4 linked regions of the Caenorhabditis elegans genome follow. The protein of the gene in region 3 interacts with the protein of the main gene of each other region in a pairwise test. Each region holds a gene or a part of one and is shown on either strand. Other genes may lie near its edges.

Region 1 (3,512 bases), on a different chromosome or scaffold from region 3:
TTTTTTGAATATAAAATGGCCAAAATTAATCTTTTATTTGGAAAATCTTGGGCTCACTAGCAGTGCAAAAAAAGAAACTTACTTGTTAGAACTGCCTAACAACAGTGATTCGTTTTGTGAATAAATAGGATCTTCCGAAGACATTTTCTTATATTTTAACAAAAGATAAACTTATCAAAAAGGGTTGAAAAATGAATATAGTTCGTTTTGAAAGAATTGGGTTCGGCAGCAGGCTTGCTTCGTAGACATGCAACAAGGAAGTATTCGTGAAAATCTAAGAAGTTGAAAAAGTTGTAATCTTTAAAAAACGTAACTGTGATCTTTATTGCCTCTCGTCTCGTAAATCACGGAATTGAAGAGATGTGCATGGCAGTAGAGCATGTCGGTGGTAACGATACAGGTGAAAAGTAGGCCAAATTTGTATTTATCAGTTTACCGAAAGATTTTTAATCAAAAGATTTCTAGATTTTTAATATCGGAGTTTTCTCCGTTATATATTCAATCGTTCTTGCTTTACGCTTATTGGAAGTGCGATATAATTATAATTATTTTATTTCATTTTGAAGATGTTGAAGAAAAGAAGCAAAGCGATGCAAACGGCGCGTTTGCAAAATGTCTTATTTTAATATACATGCATACAAAGAAAGCACATTATCATTTCATAATTAGAGCTCTGATCGCAGAAAACAAGCGAGAAGTGCATTGCGAGATTTCCAGTTTTTCCACATCAGTTATTATTTTCGAACTCCACGAAATCCTGAAAATAGAGTAATAGTTAAATTAAATTTTGGATAAGAAGCACAAAAACTCACAATCAAAAATGTGGCTCCCAGCAGTATCGCTTTGAGCTTGACATCAAGGTCGATGGGAACTGAAATTCTTTCAACTATTCTTTCACTTTCAAGACTAACTCACAGGTGACTGCAAAAGTGTCGGCATCGGTAAACGCTTCACGCAATAGTCCACCCCACTTCTTGGTTATTGAGCCAATTGGCACGGAGCTGTCGGGAGTTTTGATCTGAAAAGTATGGAGTATTTTAAATTCGGCAAAGTCTTGTCACCGTAAAATCCTTATCTTCACAGCAGCAACTTGTGCAACATCCTTGACCATCAACTAGGAAAATCAGATTTCCATCTTTATCCAAAATGTTATAGAATGAATTCGTGCAACCATATCCTTGAAGGACAGTACCCAGAAGGCCAGTTGATAGTGATTCAATGGTGCATATGTTTTGAAGACCTAGCAAGCATCCACAAAATGAGTCTGCGCAGCATCTTAATTCTCGTTTGACGATGAGCACATTCTTAACAAAACAAATGTTTTAAAAACTTAATTTAAAAGAATTTTCAAGAAACTTTAGGAATGTTTTCCTATTATTACACATCCCATGAAATAATCAGGAGTTAAAAAGTGATAAGAACTCAAGCTTCATGGCTTAGAAATCTGCATCTCTAGGCCATAACTCACCTTGTTAAAATTATCCACAATGTGCATCGTAAAACCTCGTTGCGATCCACAACACTGTCTCTCCCAAGCGTTGGATTCTTCGAACGCATAGTAACACTGCTGTCCATTTTTATTTCTAATAGCATACTTATTTTTACTCTCCCATCCAGTAAGAATCTCAAGAACCTCCTTCACTTGATGCACCATGACCGTGTCCAAGTAGGCAAGGTATTCCAACCCTGCTGGGATTCCCTCAATCGCTGGAAGTGCTTCCATCCAAATTGCTCCGGGAGCTGCTTGTATAGAAGCTCCTGGTTCAGTTGTTATGGCTCGGTCTTCAATTTCAACGTAATCAGGTGGTCCATTATAAAATAGTTGATCCATTATTTCGAATCTGAAACTTATAAAAAACGGGTTGCTGATTGTTTGAAATTGCGCTTAACTAAGCAAAGATTGGTCCGAATTCTTAAATTTCATTTTGTTACAAAATTGGTGCTCAAAAATAGAAAAAATAGATAAAAGAGTTTACTGACTACTCAATAATTTTACTCGGCTCATCGAGCTCTAAAACTGATAAAAATAGAGGTAAAAAAAATTTCGTCGAAATAAACACTTAAAAACGCATATTGATATTTTATAACTCATAAATCCGTGGGGTTTTCTTCAAACACTACAGAAATTACAGTAAAAACTATTGCTTTAGATCGAAAAAAATTGCTGAACAGTTGAAACCGGAAAACTGGTCAAAAGTAGGAAACATTCGTTGTTTTTATTGATGCTCAAAAAACATGAAACAGAGAAAAAGCGGGTTCAGAAAGTGGGACCAGCGAATGTGTTCGGAAAGTGAGAGGCGCATAGACGAAGAGGGAAGCTAGACACACATACTTTGAAAACAGCACAAGGTTCAGGGTACTCGTGTACTAAAAATTGAGAGAATTTTTTCAATTTATAACATTTTCATACGAGAATTCATTTGCAATTACCTAGAAGCTACCAGGGGTCACCACATTTCTCTTGGGAATTATCGAAAATTTATTCCTGAGTCATCAACTAACATTCCATTTAATTCCCTCATAAACTTTATTCATTTTCAGTCAAAATGTAAGTCAGCAGTTCTCTTCGTCTTAACATATCCTCCATGTCTTGGCTTATGATCCACATCATCATCGAGCCTCTCCTCGAACTCTGAAACTTCTACAGGAGCGACATGGGTAGCTGCAACCGGTTGCTTCACACTCTCCAATTCGGATTTAGTTTCGTTAGTGGAAACAGAAGCGGGGGTGTACTTGGATGGTTTGATCTGCAATTTAAAAATTGGAAAAAAAATCAATAACTGTTTTTGTAACTCACATTTTTCCACTCCTTATCAAACTCATCACTTTCCACAGAAACCGATGGTTTAGCTCTACGAGAACTGTGCTCCGTCTCGTGTCCTTTCTCCAAAAGTGCCAACATAGCTTCACGTTCCTCTTCAGCTTTACTGATCATCTTGTGTTTTCGTTGCTTGGCACACACGTACATCCAAATAAGACACAGGGCAATACAGAAGCACCAAATGAGAAGGACAAGGAGTAGGATGTAGATAAGGATGTTCGCATCGATTCCTGTAAGAAAATTGGTAACGGTATAGCTGGCAACAGTGCTGACGAGTTAACTTATAGTTAGTGTAGATACTTTCTCCAGAATGTTGTCAGCTTTCTGGCGCAGTATTTTAGATAGGTATGTGCTAGGGCTTCCATGAAGTCGCCGCAACGGCGCATCCGCTGGCCTCAGCGGTCACCGCGCCGGCCTCACGGCGTCACTCAAGCCGCATGTATCCGAATGTATAGTGAACCCCGACAGTGTCGGCTGCTTCAAATAACTGCCTTTTTGCATTTGAATATATTTTGAATACACATTCGAATACACAGCGGTATCAGCGTGAGGCCCGCATTTCGCGCCTCACTCAGCTGGGATTCCTAGTCTGTCCAATCATTCTTTGGTCGCAGGCGGCGCAAACCCACTAGGCCTTTATCAATTAATCTCAAATTACCAAATTTCAAACGCGCACTACGTGAAAGCTGGT
Region 2 (7,748 bases), on a different chromosome or scaffold from region 3:
GCAATTTTTTTTGCAACACCTGGGCCGGCAATTTCTTAATCACAGCGGTAGCGACGAGAGTTTGAAATTACAGTACTCTTTAGAGACGCAAACCTTTTCGCATTAAATAAAATGAAAGACTAATTTTCAATTGGTCCGTGGGGTGCAAGACTAATAGAGACTAATAGAGGAAATACAGCATATATTTTTATTAGATGGTGCAAAGTCCTATTTTCCCAGAAGATCACATCTTATTAAATTAAGATTCTCTGGTTCGCTGCCCCCTTCTCTTCCAAAGTTTCCTCAAAAATATATCCGAAGGGAAAATAAAAAATAATATGCGCAGACGATAATAAAAAAATATAGACAAAAACCCGATTCTCTAAGAGATCAAGCACGTCGATTACGTTATATTATTTTTCCCCTGTCAAATTTCATTGTTATGCAACATCTGCATGACGTCCATCTTCTGGACAAGACCGAGAGATGATATGGGCGGTCTGTACACGTTTTTTTTCTGTCTTTCAGATATCTCATCGTAATAAGCTTGCAGATATTTTTCTAGTATAGTTTTATCTAACATTTCTGACATTTTCAAAAATTTTCAAAATTGAAGCGAAAAAGTTGGTGGCCGAGTTGTTATTTATTCCCGGCCACATCGCAAAAAAAATCATAATTTACTCTGTTTTTGGAAAATTAGGTAAAAATTACTTTCAAAAACAGTAAACAATGGTTCAAAGTTGCATGTCCAGTTTTTCACTTCGTTCTTGTATACTCCCCCTGGTAAAATGTCTACTTCTATTTGTAAACTTGCTGATTTTTGAATCCTTAATAACTCAGTACCTGTAAGAGATACAAAAATATTGTCAACTATCAAAATAATCAAAATTGTCTCAAAAATATTTTGTCAGTTGACAATATTTTTCCAACTCCTATCCCAACGGAGTTATTCGTTCCATAAGAGATCACATTTTCCACAGACCACACCCCAATTATTTCCAATAAATCAGAAAATAATCAAAGTCCATTATCACTGCTTATCCCGTTAGCCATGTTTCATAGAAGGGCTAAATGATAATGGATTCTTCTTTTTTCAACATTCTCCTTCTCCTTCTTGCCTGTCGGTTTCCTTTTCCGATCCAGAGAAGAAGGGGAAACTTGTCGATTAGCCAGTTCACAAATCAAGAAATACCGGTGGATTCGGAAATTTCTCTTTCTCGAGATTTTTGACATGCTTTCGGTTTGACCCTTCTATGTGTCATTTAAGTTTTTTTTTGTTTATTTTCGTTGGAACATTTTGAAAACTAGTGTAAATCTGTTATTATAAGTTTATTCGTTTATTTAAGTACATTTTCGGTCAGTGGGGTCTAAATAAAAGTTACATTTTTGTGTCCCACTAACTTTTTAACTTTTTTTTGAGAAATTTTCAAAACGTTTCATTAAACGCGGTAGTTTTTGGTCATTTTGGGCATAAAAAGGCAAAGTCTTCAATTTAGGTACTAGAGTTTTTAATATCAGTCCGTCATTTTAGTTTTTGATTTGTTTCCTTTTTTATTTTTAGTTTGTTCCTAAATTCTGAAAGGCTATATCACTATTGTTCTGGATTCTACCAATTAAACTTTGATATAATTTCTTAAAAAATAGTTTGCTCCTAGAAATTGTAAAGTCAAAACCCTTCTTTCTATCCTGTCTGCAACTTTCAATTTTTCAATAAAAACTAAACACAGATATTCTAGATCAATTCCATATGCGAAGGCTTTTGATACATCTAGTTGTCCTTCTAGTACTATTACTAGAAGGACACAATGTTCTAGGGTTTGCAAGTGCGCCAGGGACCTATCCAGAAGAAGAAACACGAGCTGGTAATGATATGGAAGTGCCCAAAAATCCATATGAAAGCACATGGACCGGATATGATTTTTATTATGAAAAGGAGCCAAAGAAGGGTACGTTAGAAAAAATATGCAATTTTTGAAATTTATTTTCCAAATTATTATCAATTTTTCCCTGTAAATGTTGGCCGAGTTTATCTTGCACTTTATATTACGTTTCATTTCCAGATTATCATTTCTCGGCAGTCATGTAGCAAAATCAGAATAGCCTGTCAATAACTTCCTTCTAATTTTCAGTCCCACCCTCCGCAGGCAGCGGAAAAATGCCAGCGTTCCAGTCGATCGCGTCCATCTCAACAGACCGTGAATCTCCAGAAGACCCAGGAAATAGTGGTTATTTAGCGTCCGGAGCCGAATCTGGACCCAAGAAAACCACGTCGAAACCTGCAACAACACCCACTCCAGAACCTACCACTACTCCCGTAGAAGAAGAAAAAGTAAAAGTGTCGCCGAGCAGTAGTACTAAAGGTTGGTGGAAAGTTGAGTTTTGTGGCCACGTAGAAATATCTCACCTATGCACCAGAACACCTAAATAGTGGTTTCACACACACGTGTTTTATAAAACTTCACTCCAGATCCATCAAAGCTGCACAAAACCACCAAAACACCTGTCACTATCACAAATATAATATCAACCACCACTGCACCACCAGCGCCATCTAGAGCACCAGAAAATGATCCGGAATCCGGATCCGACCAATCGGAGAGCACTGATAATTTGGATTTACTTTACGGCGGGGGAAGTTCTGCCACAGCCACCGGGGAGGATAAGAAAGGTATTTGGAATAGGAAAATATAATTGAGTATCTAGAGAATATGTAAAACTAACGTTCTAAATATTTAACATCTGAAAACAATTTTCTAGTAGTGTCACATGTCACATTGTAGATTTTGTGTACTGCCTTTTTCAACTTTTGGAGTTCAAATAAAGATAGGTCTTCTGAATACATGTAGTGGCCATTGTCATCGACATATAAGCGCAAAATAGCGCACAAGTGGACATATAAGCGCAAAATTCAAAGTTAGCCAGATTATCAAACTGTCTTTAAAACCAGCACGGCACTCTACCACTAATAATCCCAACTTTTGCACAGACCCTCCCAAACTGCATGATCCACCTCCACCGCATCCATCTGCACCACAAAACCTTTTAACCCAATTGATTCAAAAGAAGAAGGATGCACCAAACAAAGGATCATCTGAGAAAAGTTCCAAATGGTCAGATGATCATGCTTCCGGGTATCCGGAGGGAAGTGCTCCTAGCGCTGAGCCATCTGAAAACCAGTATGAGCAAGATGGTTCTATTCCATCGTCGAATGACTACAAAGAGCTCACAGATGTACCAGGTACAAAGCCAAGCTCTTCAGCTTCACGTGGTTCAAATATGGCAGGTAACCCCACAGCACCGCTCACCACCACTCAGCACACTTTTGCACCAAACAGCACTGAAACATCAAGATCTTCTACTAGCAGAGGAAAGGCTCCTGGGACCGAACCTAAGTCTGAAGCTCGGTATAGCTCTCAGAATCCTTACTCAGACAACTCGAGCACCCAGAAGCCAGAATACGAATCTGGATACCCAGCGGTGTCTGGAGCAAACTCAAGAGCCCAAATTCCTAATATCACGGACTACACTAAACCATCAGCAGTGTCAATTGAATACGCATCAAGCTCGAAGGAAAGGTCTGATCCTCCATTTTCAACACCCTTAACATCTAATTCACAACATGTACTTACACAGCCAAGGCCAAGGGATTATGAAGATGGCCCGCAGGAGACAACTCGGACAAAAGCTAGTGGCACAAAATCACCTAACTCACTCCAAGCACCTCAACAAACTGCAGCACATCTCATGAAAAATGCCAGAGCACCTGGTCCGGAGCCAAGTCTTCACAGCACTACCACTCACCACGTACAAACACCAATTATCACCATAGCACCCAAGTTTTCAGAACCATCACCATATGCAGAAAATATTATGCTTACACCAAAGCAGGCACCTGGCACCGAACCTCGGTCTAACTCTCAGAACCCTCAAACAGATCGGTTAGCCTCCCAATCAGGATATGAATCCGGCGGGCCTGGACGTCCACAAAATGTTTCAATAAGACACCGAGAGAATCCAAAGGGATCTGATGCAATTTCAAGAACCGCTATTACTCCTTCTAAGATTGATTACTTTGCACCATCGTCACCAACAGGGCCAATTGGATATGAACGTCAAGTCCCGAGTTTCAAGGAAGGACCAGATCATCAATATACAAAATACTCCACGCTCAATTCACCACCTGCACCATCACCACAAGAGTCAAGCACAATCACTCACCATGTCTCCACATCACCCGACTTTTTAGAGCCATCATCAGAAAGTTCTGTGCTCTTACCGAAGCAAGCACCCGGCACCAATCCGAGCACGTCTAATAGTCCACCTGGATATTCTGAACTAATTGGCCCCTCTGGTCCCGGTAATGGTCTACCTGAAGCACCCAGTCACGCCGCACAAAACATTCCCAGAGCACACACGTTTTCAGAGTCACAAGGGTACGAACCGATGGGAAACAATGGGCCAAGTATCTTTGAGGGTCCTGGAACAGAATCTGGATATTCTGAGCCTAAAGCTCTTAGTACTGCGTCACAAAAGACTAAACCAGATGACAAGCCATACGAAATACCACGTAGCATTGAGCCCAGCAATTCGAAACCATATCCATCTGACAGTTCCTGGTCTGACCATGACAATGCTCCTGGCAGTGAGCCAAGCTACATCCCGGACGTTTTAGACTACGGAGCACGAGCCAATAATCACGCGGGCAAAATGATGAATATGTCACATGCCACGTCACCAAGCACCGGTTCACCATCTAACTCGAACAATGCGATTTCCGCACGAGACCCATATGATCACTTTGGCACTATCACTGCACCATCTGACATTCCACGTGCCAATTCAAATTTTGAAGAATACCCGGACGATGGAGGATATGACGGGACGAATGATGTGGCAATTGTGCCTTTGAGGTGATTTTTTGTGGGAAATCGAGTCCTCGATGCATCATGTTTAATCTTGCTCGAAACGCATATATCTCGGAAACTACGAGAGCTATCAAAAAGTTGTCAACTAACAAAATGTATAAAAAAGTTTGGCGAACAATTTGTCAGTTAATAACTTTTTATAGACTTAATAGTTTTGGAGAAAAATCAAGATACAATTAGGCACACACTTTTCAGAACACAGCACGGCACAAATCCTTCCACCATCACTACCACGAACACTCAAGTGAGAGCACAAATTTCAGAAATTGATCGGATTGCTGGTAAATAATATCGATATTCCAAAAATTTTTGGAAGAAAAATATGAATCTTACATTATTTCAGAATCTTTCGAGAACTCGGCGCGGGAACCTGTGGAGTATGAACAGCGAATTACTAGTGAATCATCGAAGGGAATTACAGCTGTAACCGGAAAAGATTTTATGGTTTTATTTTAAAATTTCAGCCGATTTTTTTGAAATATAATAAAAATTAAACATTACAGAAGAAGCTTGGAAGAAAGTCGCCAACATGTTGCTCATGTTGTGACGAGAAGCAGTCTGTGAGCAGAAATATTGAGACACAGGTTTAAAAAAAAGCAGCACTGTTTTAAACTTAATAATTTCTAGGCTGACCCATTGCATGTTCAACACGCAGTCGACCCATCACGGCAGTTAGGTACGTAAGTTTCCTCAAGACTCCCCCGTTGGTCACAAAAATAGGTTCGAATCCTGCCGTGGTCGAAACTTTTTTTTGCAGTCGAATCCGAGCCAGTGCAGAACTTTGTCCCTCTCCAGAACACCGTTGGAGGGAACGCCTATATTCAGCCACAACCAGTCGCTCAACAACAGTAAGTCTTTGTTTTAAATGGAAATATGTCACTTTTTTTCCAGAACCATCTACCAACAACCTTTCCAGCAATACCAACCACAGTACCCACAATCTTATCAGCAACCATCCTGCGGGTGCCAGCCACAGCCTCAAAACTGTTGTGCTCCACCTGCTCCTTGCTGTCTCCGTAAGTGACATAAATAATCCGTACAATTCATTCTTAGAACTATCTTTGTTCAGCAACAATTCCATGTTGTCCACCAATACCTTGCTGCCCGCAACCGAAGATTTGCTGTCAGCCAGCGCCAGTCTGTCTCCCTCCACCAACTTGTTGCTCGATTAACTTTAAACTTCCGACTATTCCAATCTGTGGTAGAGCCTGCCCATCGTGTCCATGTCGACGGAGAATGCACAAATCACGTCGTCTCAAGCGTCACTCAATTAACTCGAACTGTCATCAGTGCTCTTCTGCCGGTGAGCCATGGAGATCTGTGTTGCATCACCGAGAGAAACGTGCAGCTCCGGGATGCACTTCCGGTTTTTCGACGATGGTATGACGTTTCAGAGTGAATGGATAGAACTAAAACTCCACTTTTCAGAGTCAAAATTCGTGTGGCACATGTGGAGCGTCAAATCTCAGATCGCCACGTGTCAAGCGTATGGGATGTCTGCCGTGTCTGGGAAGAAAGAAGCGAGATACCGATGAGAATTCTCATATTAGAGTGAAGAGAATGGTGAGTACTGCGAGCTCACAAAAAATCAATTATCAATTTTCTTACAGGGATGTCTTCCATGCCTGGGTCGTAAGAAACGCAGTACCCTATCACAATCGGGATGTTCTCAATGTAATAGTATGGGTCATTTGTTCAATCGCTACAAGAGGAGTCTATTTGGAGGATGTTCGCCGTGTGCACCACAGGTATGAGATTCACGCCTCCCCCAACTTGACTCGAAAAATGCCTCCAATTAAATGCTAGGTGGAATTCAAATTTAGAAAGTACAATGTAAATAAGTAGCTAACAATAAGATTATAACTTTTGAATAACTTGAAAATCAGTTATGACAAAATGTATACGAAGTTCCGAGTTCCCATGTTACGCCTTGGCCAGGTGAAACTCAACATTGTAATACGAAAACCAACTCTCAAATCTTGACACTTTTCAGCAACCCTGCGGATGTGGCCGTAAGAAGCGATCGGTCACCATGAAGCTCGTCAAGAGAGCTCCGATGCAGTGTGACTCCACATGTTGCGACTTTTCAAGGTGAGCACATCTAAGTATTGACTGTAGTGTAACTAACATTTCCTATATTTCAGATGTCCATATCGCCAGAAGAAAGAAGCGCTGGTGCCGTTTATGTAGAGCTCACAGATGATAAGATCACATCGACGGGTTGTACATACCTCATAGAATCATCATATTGACTGCTTATTTCTCAGAGTGTTTTTGAAACATATTATTAATACAATAAATTGCAATAGTTCATTTTTGAAAATCTAACAAAAAAGTAGTAAGATTAGAAGGACAGAAAAGGAACCGGGTCACCCGAAATTGATGGGATTATGGGCCGGAATGATTGTGTGTGTGAAATTGGAATTATTCAAGGAAGACAACTAGAGATCGCAAGTGATTGTTTAAAAAAATATAAATAAGAAAAAATCTAAAAAGTTATGGACTATGGCTTTTCAAAAACCCATTAATTTTCATGTTCAGAAATTCGTTTGGACTACTCGACGATGCTATTTCAGACGCTAGAGATTGATGTTGTTGTTGATCATCGTAGAGTTGGAGCTGGCGTTGATAACTGGCAATTTCCAGACGGAGAGCCTGAAATTAATATCAATTGTGATCTGAAACAGGGGTGGGCTGCAAACGATTTTTCCGGCAAATCGGCAAATTTCCGGAATTGAAAACTTCTGGCAAATCGACAAGTTGCCGGAATTGAAAACTTTTGGCAAATCGACAAGTTGCCGGAATTGAAAACTTTTGGCAAATCGACAAGTTGCCGGAATTGCA
Region 3 (2,800 bases):
AGGAACAAAATCTTAATTTTCGTTAGACTATCACTAATTTTATGTCTAGCTCTTTCTTCTCTTTTCCTTTCTTCACTTTCTTGGGAGTGTCGAAAGACCTCTCTTTCGATGATCAAATATCAATAATATCAAATAGTTTTCTCCTGTATTGTTAATTCCGATTAACATATTAGATGCTAATCACCTCTTATGTGTTCATTTACATATTATTCCAATCCATATAAAAACCCAAGAGAACTCAGTAGATGTATGTTTGATGTAGGATGTATGTTGATGTAGAGATATGATATAATTTCCTTCTAAAGCGCTTCGACTGATATTTTCTGTTTATTTTTATTATTTACATCAATAAATCCTTTTATTATTGCCTACCGTTATTAAAGGAAGAAAGAAAAAAGAAAGAAACTTATCCGAAAGGATAAGTGTTCACATATGCTTCGTCCATTCATTACAAAAATATAATAATTTTACAGAATATACCAATTAGTTATGTTGAACATAATGCATTCGGAAGAGTTTTTACAACAAAAATGAAATAACTCTTTTAAAAAATTATTCATTTTAATTTCTGTGACGAAGATAGATAATCTTTTCAGAAAGACTTGGTCCCATTCCATAATAGATATATTATTGATTCAGTTCTTTTTTCATTCAGTTGTTTGTGAACACAAAACCCAATAAAGTTATTCGATACTGACATTTGTCTAGTGTAAAGTTCAGTTTCCAATGTGTTATCTGCCCAACCTATCAAGAAAGAAACGCTTAACCTTTCCGTGCAGCCAATTTGACATTAAGCACTGAAGAATTATTAAATGCATACTAGAATTTAACAGGAACTAATTGACAAACAGTTTACCTTTAGAACAAAGACTAATTTCCAATCAAAAATAATTGTTTTAAAGAAGTAACTGAGCCCAAAATAAATACCCTGACAACTGTAACTAAGGAAAACAAGTCAATTATATTGTCTACGGAAAACACACAAATAAAAATGATCATATTGGGTTGAATTACGACTCAAATAGTCTATCATGCTCTTTTGATATTGCTTTTTGGTCAAAAAACAGTCCCTCGCAACGAATATACGTGAAAAGCAAATGACAAAGCCACGGATACGTGTACAATGGATAATTTATTGAGTGTCACAAGTGTTCCAAAAATCTGAAAAACTTATTGATCTAAATACTTGAGATATAACTTGATTTCAATGTTTTATTGTTGACAAGGACTGTTTTACTCTGTTTTTTTTCTACTGCAATTACTAATATTCAACGTGTCACGCATAGGTTGTGATTTTATTTTATTTTGAGAAATTCAGTGATATTTTAAGAACACGTCAAATGAAAACGTCAGACTATTACATTAATGGAAACATCGGAAAATAACAAAGGTTCGCTCGTAGAATGCGCATCGCATGTCTTACAATATCTCAAAAGATATCTGATCTGATCACTATTTTATTATCAAAATGTTCAACCCATTTGATATAACATGTATGAAACAAAAAATATTATTGTTTTAAAAAACTTTCCAATGTGACGATCATTTTCATCATACTTCAACATCATGAGGGAGGAACTGGTCTTCTGGATCATTCTCTCCCATTTGGCCTATGAGTAACACCCGTTCCGCTCCTTTAGTTTGTTTGAGCTTCTTTGTCGTTTTGAACAAGAAAGGTGACTAACAAATAAGGCAAACAAAAATATCATCACACCCTCTTATAAACTTATCGAGCGTCAAAAAATGGAGGAGGGCCAAATGCCACCAGCGCATGATAATTTAAACGTTTTATCACTTATGACGTGTGTCCTCCATTGAATAGATTGCTCAAATACTCAAACGCGAAGACCATACTCCATCAGTTTTTCAGCTTTCCATCTAAAAATAGGTCCTTTTTTGGATAAACCTATTTTTCAAAACTGTTCAAAATCTTCTTTTTATCTTATTTCTTGATGTACATTATTTTACCAATCCTTTTTTACTAACTTATTGATTTTTAGAAATAATGTCGTACTACGGAAACGGAGGATACAACGCTCCATACGGAGGACACGGAGGATATGCTCCACCACCAGTCCACGGAGCTCCAGGATACATGCCACCAACTGTTCATGTCCACACTGACGGAGGACACCACGGACATATGGACACCCATCACCACCATGACAGCCACCATCATGGAGGACACCATGGAGGACATCACGGAGGACACTACGAAAGCCATTATGAAAGCCATCATCATCATGGACACCATGGACATCATTAAATGTGATGCAATTTTGTAAAATTTTTGCACTAAGCTGTTAACCTTCCCATATGATCCTACTAACAATAAATGCTTTACAGTTTATTTGAAAAAGATTTTGCAAAAAGATTTAACAAAAAGCATAAACCATGGAAAATCTATTTGGAACTGTTATCCCTTTTTGTTTTTAATTTTTTAATTTAAAAATAACAAAATTTTCCTAAACGCGTAAAACAAATAAGCACGGCAATTTTCAGACTTCATCAAATTTATTCGGTGTAACATAAAATTCAAATAGTTTTGCCAATAGTGGGACCGTCAAGTTTAACTTTATCCAAAGCTCCATACAGCATTCTCTCACTTACAATATTTCAGAAAAAATAATTTCTTCTTGCGACTTTTGTTAAGCGAATAAATCCTTCAAAAATTAAAAATATATTGATTTTTTCAGTTCAGTTTTTTGTCTAGCTGTTTATTCTCCTTTGAAGTCTTTGAAATTTCAAAGTTCCAAATTCGAATCATGATTTGATTTGATTTTTCGTTTTGTTTTGATTT
Region 4 (2,740 bases), on a different chromosome or scaffold from region 3:
TTCTGATAGTGAGAATTTCTTTGGCGGGAGTATTAAATAAATTTTTGCTGGGTAGGCACAAATAGTTTGCATAGTTGCTTTCAAGGGGACCTGCTTCCTTGCTGTCCACCCCCAAACATTTATTGTCACGCTAAAAGAGCACAGACAGGGGCCTAAATAGGCAAGGGATTCCAACAAGAAAACGTATCTGCCTATCATGATGACCTTAGTATTAGCTTCTACACAGCTGATAACATTTCACAAACCTTGCTCCAATAACCTGGTTAAAAGCGATTGCGTGCTTCTTCATCAAATCAATCTCTGGAACTGCAACTAATGGGCACATCACTTCGAACTTATCAATATTCCATTCTTTGTCGCCATAAACATTCTGAAGTTGTGTCAATTTTTATGGCTTTCTTTTTCCTTCAAACACGTACATATCTAACTTGAATCTTGAAGTTGAATTCCTCAACTGGGTTATCTATTAAAGTACCAATTTGAACTCTCATAGTTACTCTGAATACAAATCGATCGTACTCTCCACCAGTCAATTGCACCGCTGTGTGTTGCTTTTAAAAGGAAAATAAGAATGTTCTGTGAAACTTTATAGTTGTGATACTTACATCGCCTTTCACCGGATGATACATCTTCTGGAACCAGAGCCACCAATCGATAAAATTATACTTTCCGATTTTCTTCAACTCACTCCCGTGACACACTTGAATGTCGAGATCAGCAGATACACCGGTATAAGATAGCCAATTAAATGGGATTACAGACTCTTCTCTATCCATTGTGAATAGTTCATAGAAATGTTTGAATACTTTTTTCCTTGTATCAACTCTCTCTGGGTCAGTTTCATGAAGATCCAAAAATATATCAGTGTTTTCCAGATTCGTAACACCATACTCTGTACATGCTCCAACTTCTTCAATCCTTGTCAGTGTGTAGTTGCTGTATGGTTTTTCTCCGAGAAGTTCCATTTTAACAAGATAAGATATCTTTGAAGAGTACTCCCAAGTGGAATGTGCCATAAACGATACCAGGAATATATTGTCATTTATACTCTCCGTTGGAACAGGACTCCAGGAAACTTTCTGAAAAATAAAATGATATGTGAGTGTTTAAAATTACTGCCTACCTCTCCAGAATTTCTCCGGTACGTCCCTCGTTGTCGTTTCCAGAATTCAGCCATTTGATCTGGAATTCAATCTTTTTTTTAAATTCTGGACCAAAAACGGCAATACGCAATTGTAAAAGTTGAACTTACAGAAATTCAGCATTTCCATTCCACCGCATATCTTTCCCTCGAAGTTTATATCCATCAGACTATACAAAATATCAGCACTCTCTTGAAACTTATAATTGTGATTCGATGATTGTCTCAACAAGTGAAGAGCCACCAATTGAGCCGAATGATTTCTTGCAGCATCCACATCCTCCTGAGTCTTCCAATAAAACTTAAACCGTTGGATTAATCCATGTTCACTCAGCGAGAATCGTTTTCCAATTTTCTTGAAAATTTGTTGAGTCTTGTTCGATGTATCCGTAGTTGATATTCCAATAAGAAAGAACAGCGCAAGTTGAATAAATTTCATCTTTGTTGAAAAACTTGGTATTGTTTCATTTATTTGAAAATTGGATTTTTATCGAGATACAGTTTTCACGTAAATTGGTTGCAAAAAACTAGTTTATTTTTGTTTTACAATTAGAAGTATTTAAAATACATTTAAATAAACAAAATAACAATAAAATGAAAACGTAACCTCTCCTTAACTTCCTTATCAGTAAAGTTCATCAAAATGTTGATTTGTCCCCTTCCTTCTCCATATCCAATCATTCCCTTACATCTATTTGGTGATCAACTTTGTCTCCTCAAAAATAAGTCTACAAATGATCAACATCGATCCACCATCCGGCGACTACCCAGCTTCTGGTGGTTCATCAACTCACTACATTGTCTCCGAATCGGAATCTCGTTTGGCATTCAAAGTCAAGTCGTCCAACAATGAATCGTATCGTGTTCGCCCAGTCTATGGATTCGTTGATGCGAAGGGAAAGGCTAAGCTCGAAGTGAATCGTTTGGCTGGACCAGCGAAGGAGGACAAGCTTGTCATTCAATACGCCGAAGTTCCAGCTGATGAGACCGATCCGAAGGCTCCGTTTGCGGCTGGTGCTCAACAAGGAGAAGTCGTTGTCAAGATGGTTGCTAGCTAAGAAAGCTTACTTTATGGTACTTTTCATATGATAAAAATTTTTATGAGATTATTGATTTTAAATAAAATCATTTTTGTCGGTGTGGCGGGGTTTATAGCTTGTGTGCAAGTGAAAAGCTGTTAAAAATCGTAAATGCGCCTTGCCGGCGGTAGGCGGTAAGCGAACATGCCTACCTTCAATGGGAAACTCAATTGTCAGTAGTTGAGCTATTTTCAAAATGTTTTGTCGGGGACTTGTTTCAAATTTTGAGCGTTTTCAGAATTATATAACAAATTTTTTCTAGGAGACAAAAGCTTCCTGTTCAATCAAAAAACTGAGCTAAAAGTTTCTGAGACAAGTCTACTACGAAACATGAAAAAAAATTCTGTAGAATCGAATGTAATTCTATAATTGGAGTCTTCTTGTTTTTTGAGTTCGGTTTGACCAAAAACAGATGCACCCGATGAATCAGTTAAAGCTGAGTTTTGATTGATTGAAGTTTGAGGAGGCTTTATATTAGGAAAGACGTACCCATATTTTGTATAAAATTGAGTATTTCTAT

The links.
Region 1: the proteins of F53A9.6 (region 3) and scrm-2 interact in a two-hybrid assay, tested with the Caenorhabditis elegans proteins (one large-scale study listed by BioGRID).
Region 2: the proteins of F53A9.6 (region 3) and K08E7.5 interact in a two-hybrid assay, tested with the Caenorhabditis elegans proteins (one large-scale study listed by BioGRID).
Region 4: the proteins of F53A9.6 (region 3) and ssp-31 interact in a two-hybrid assay, tested with the Caenorhabditis elegans proteins (one large-scale study listed by BioGRID).

What each region holds. Positions count from the first base shown.
Region 1 is NC_003279.8:13,233,686-13,237,197, reverse strand, and holds scrm-2 (Phospholipid scramblase), read right to left. Parts: upstream 1,851-3,512; 5' UTR 1,832-1,850; coding exon 1,469-1,831; intron 1,305-1,468; coding exon 1,062-1,304; intron 1,019-1,061; coding exon 916-1,018; intron 872-915; coding exon 813-871; intron 758-812; coding exon 728-757; 3' UTR 535-727; downstream 1-534. Other genes in the region: ZK1053.2 (uncharacterized protein), read right to left, coding at 2,538-2,747, 2,798-3,051.
Region 2 is NC_003282.8:12,571,655-12,579,402, forward strand, and holds K08E7.5 (Prion-like-(Q/N-rich)-domain-bearing protein), read left to right. Parts: upstream 1-1,713; 5' UTR 1,714-1,726; coding exon 1,727-1,925; intron 1,926-2,108; coding exon 2,109-2,339; intron 2,340-2,446; coding exon 2,447-2,647; intron 2,648-2,965; coding exon 2,966-4,889; intron 4,890-5,099; coding exon 5,100-5,185; intron 5,186-5,247; coding exon 5,248-5,348; intron 5,349-5,407; coding exon 5,408-5,488; intron 5,489-5,531; coding exon 5,532-5,580; intron 5,581-5,661; coding exon 5,662-5,752; intron 5,753-5,795; coding exon 5,796-5,920; intron 5,921-5,973; coding exon 5,974-6,284; intron 6,285-6,332; coding exon 6,333-6,467; intron 6,468-6,514; coding exon 6,515-6,652; intron 6,653-6,897; coding exon 6,898-6,995; intron 6,996-7,048; coding exon 7,049-7,094; 3' UTR 7,095-7,216; downstream 7,217-7,748. Other genes in the region: K08E7.6 (Myb_DNA-bind_5 domain-containing protein), read right to left, coding at 7,401-7,559.
Region 3 is NC_003284.9:8,713,010-8,715,809, reverse strand, and holds F53A9.6 (Spore coat protein), read left to right. Parts: upstream 1-2,005; coding exon 2,006-2,266; downstream 2,267-2,800.
Region 4 is NC_003279.8:13,217,266-13,220,005, forward strand, and holds ssp-31 (Sperm-specific class P protein 31), read left to right. Parts: upstream 1-1,875; coding exon 1,876-2,199; downstream 2,200-2,740. Other genes in the region: ZK1225.5 (FSA_C domain-containing protein), read right to left, coding at 246-370, 420-551, 606-1,079, 1,124-1,182, 1,253-1,580.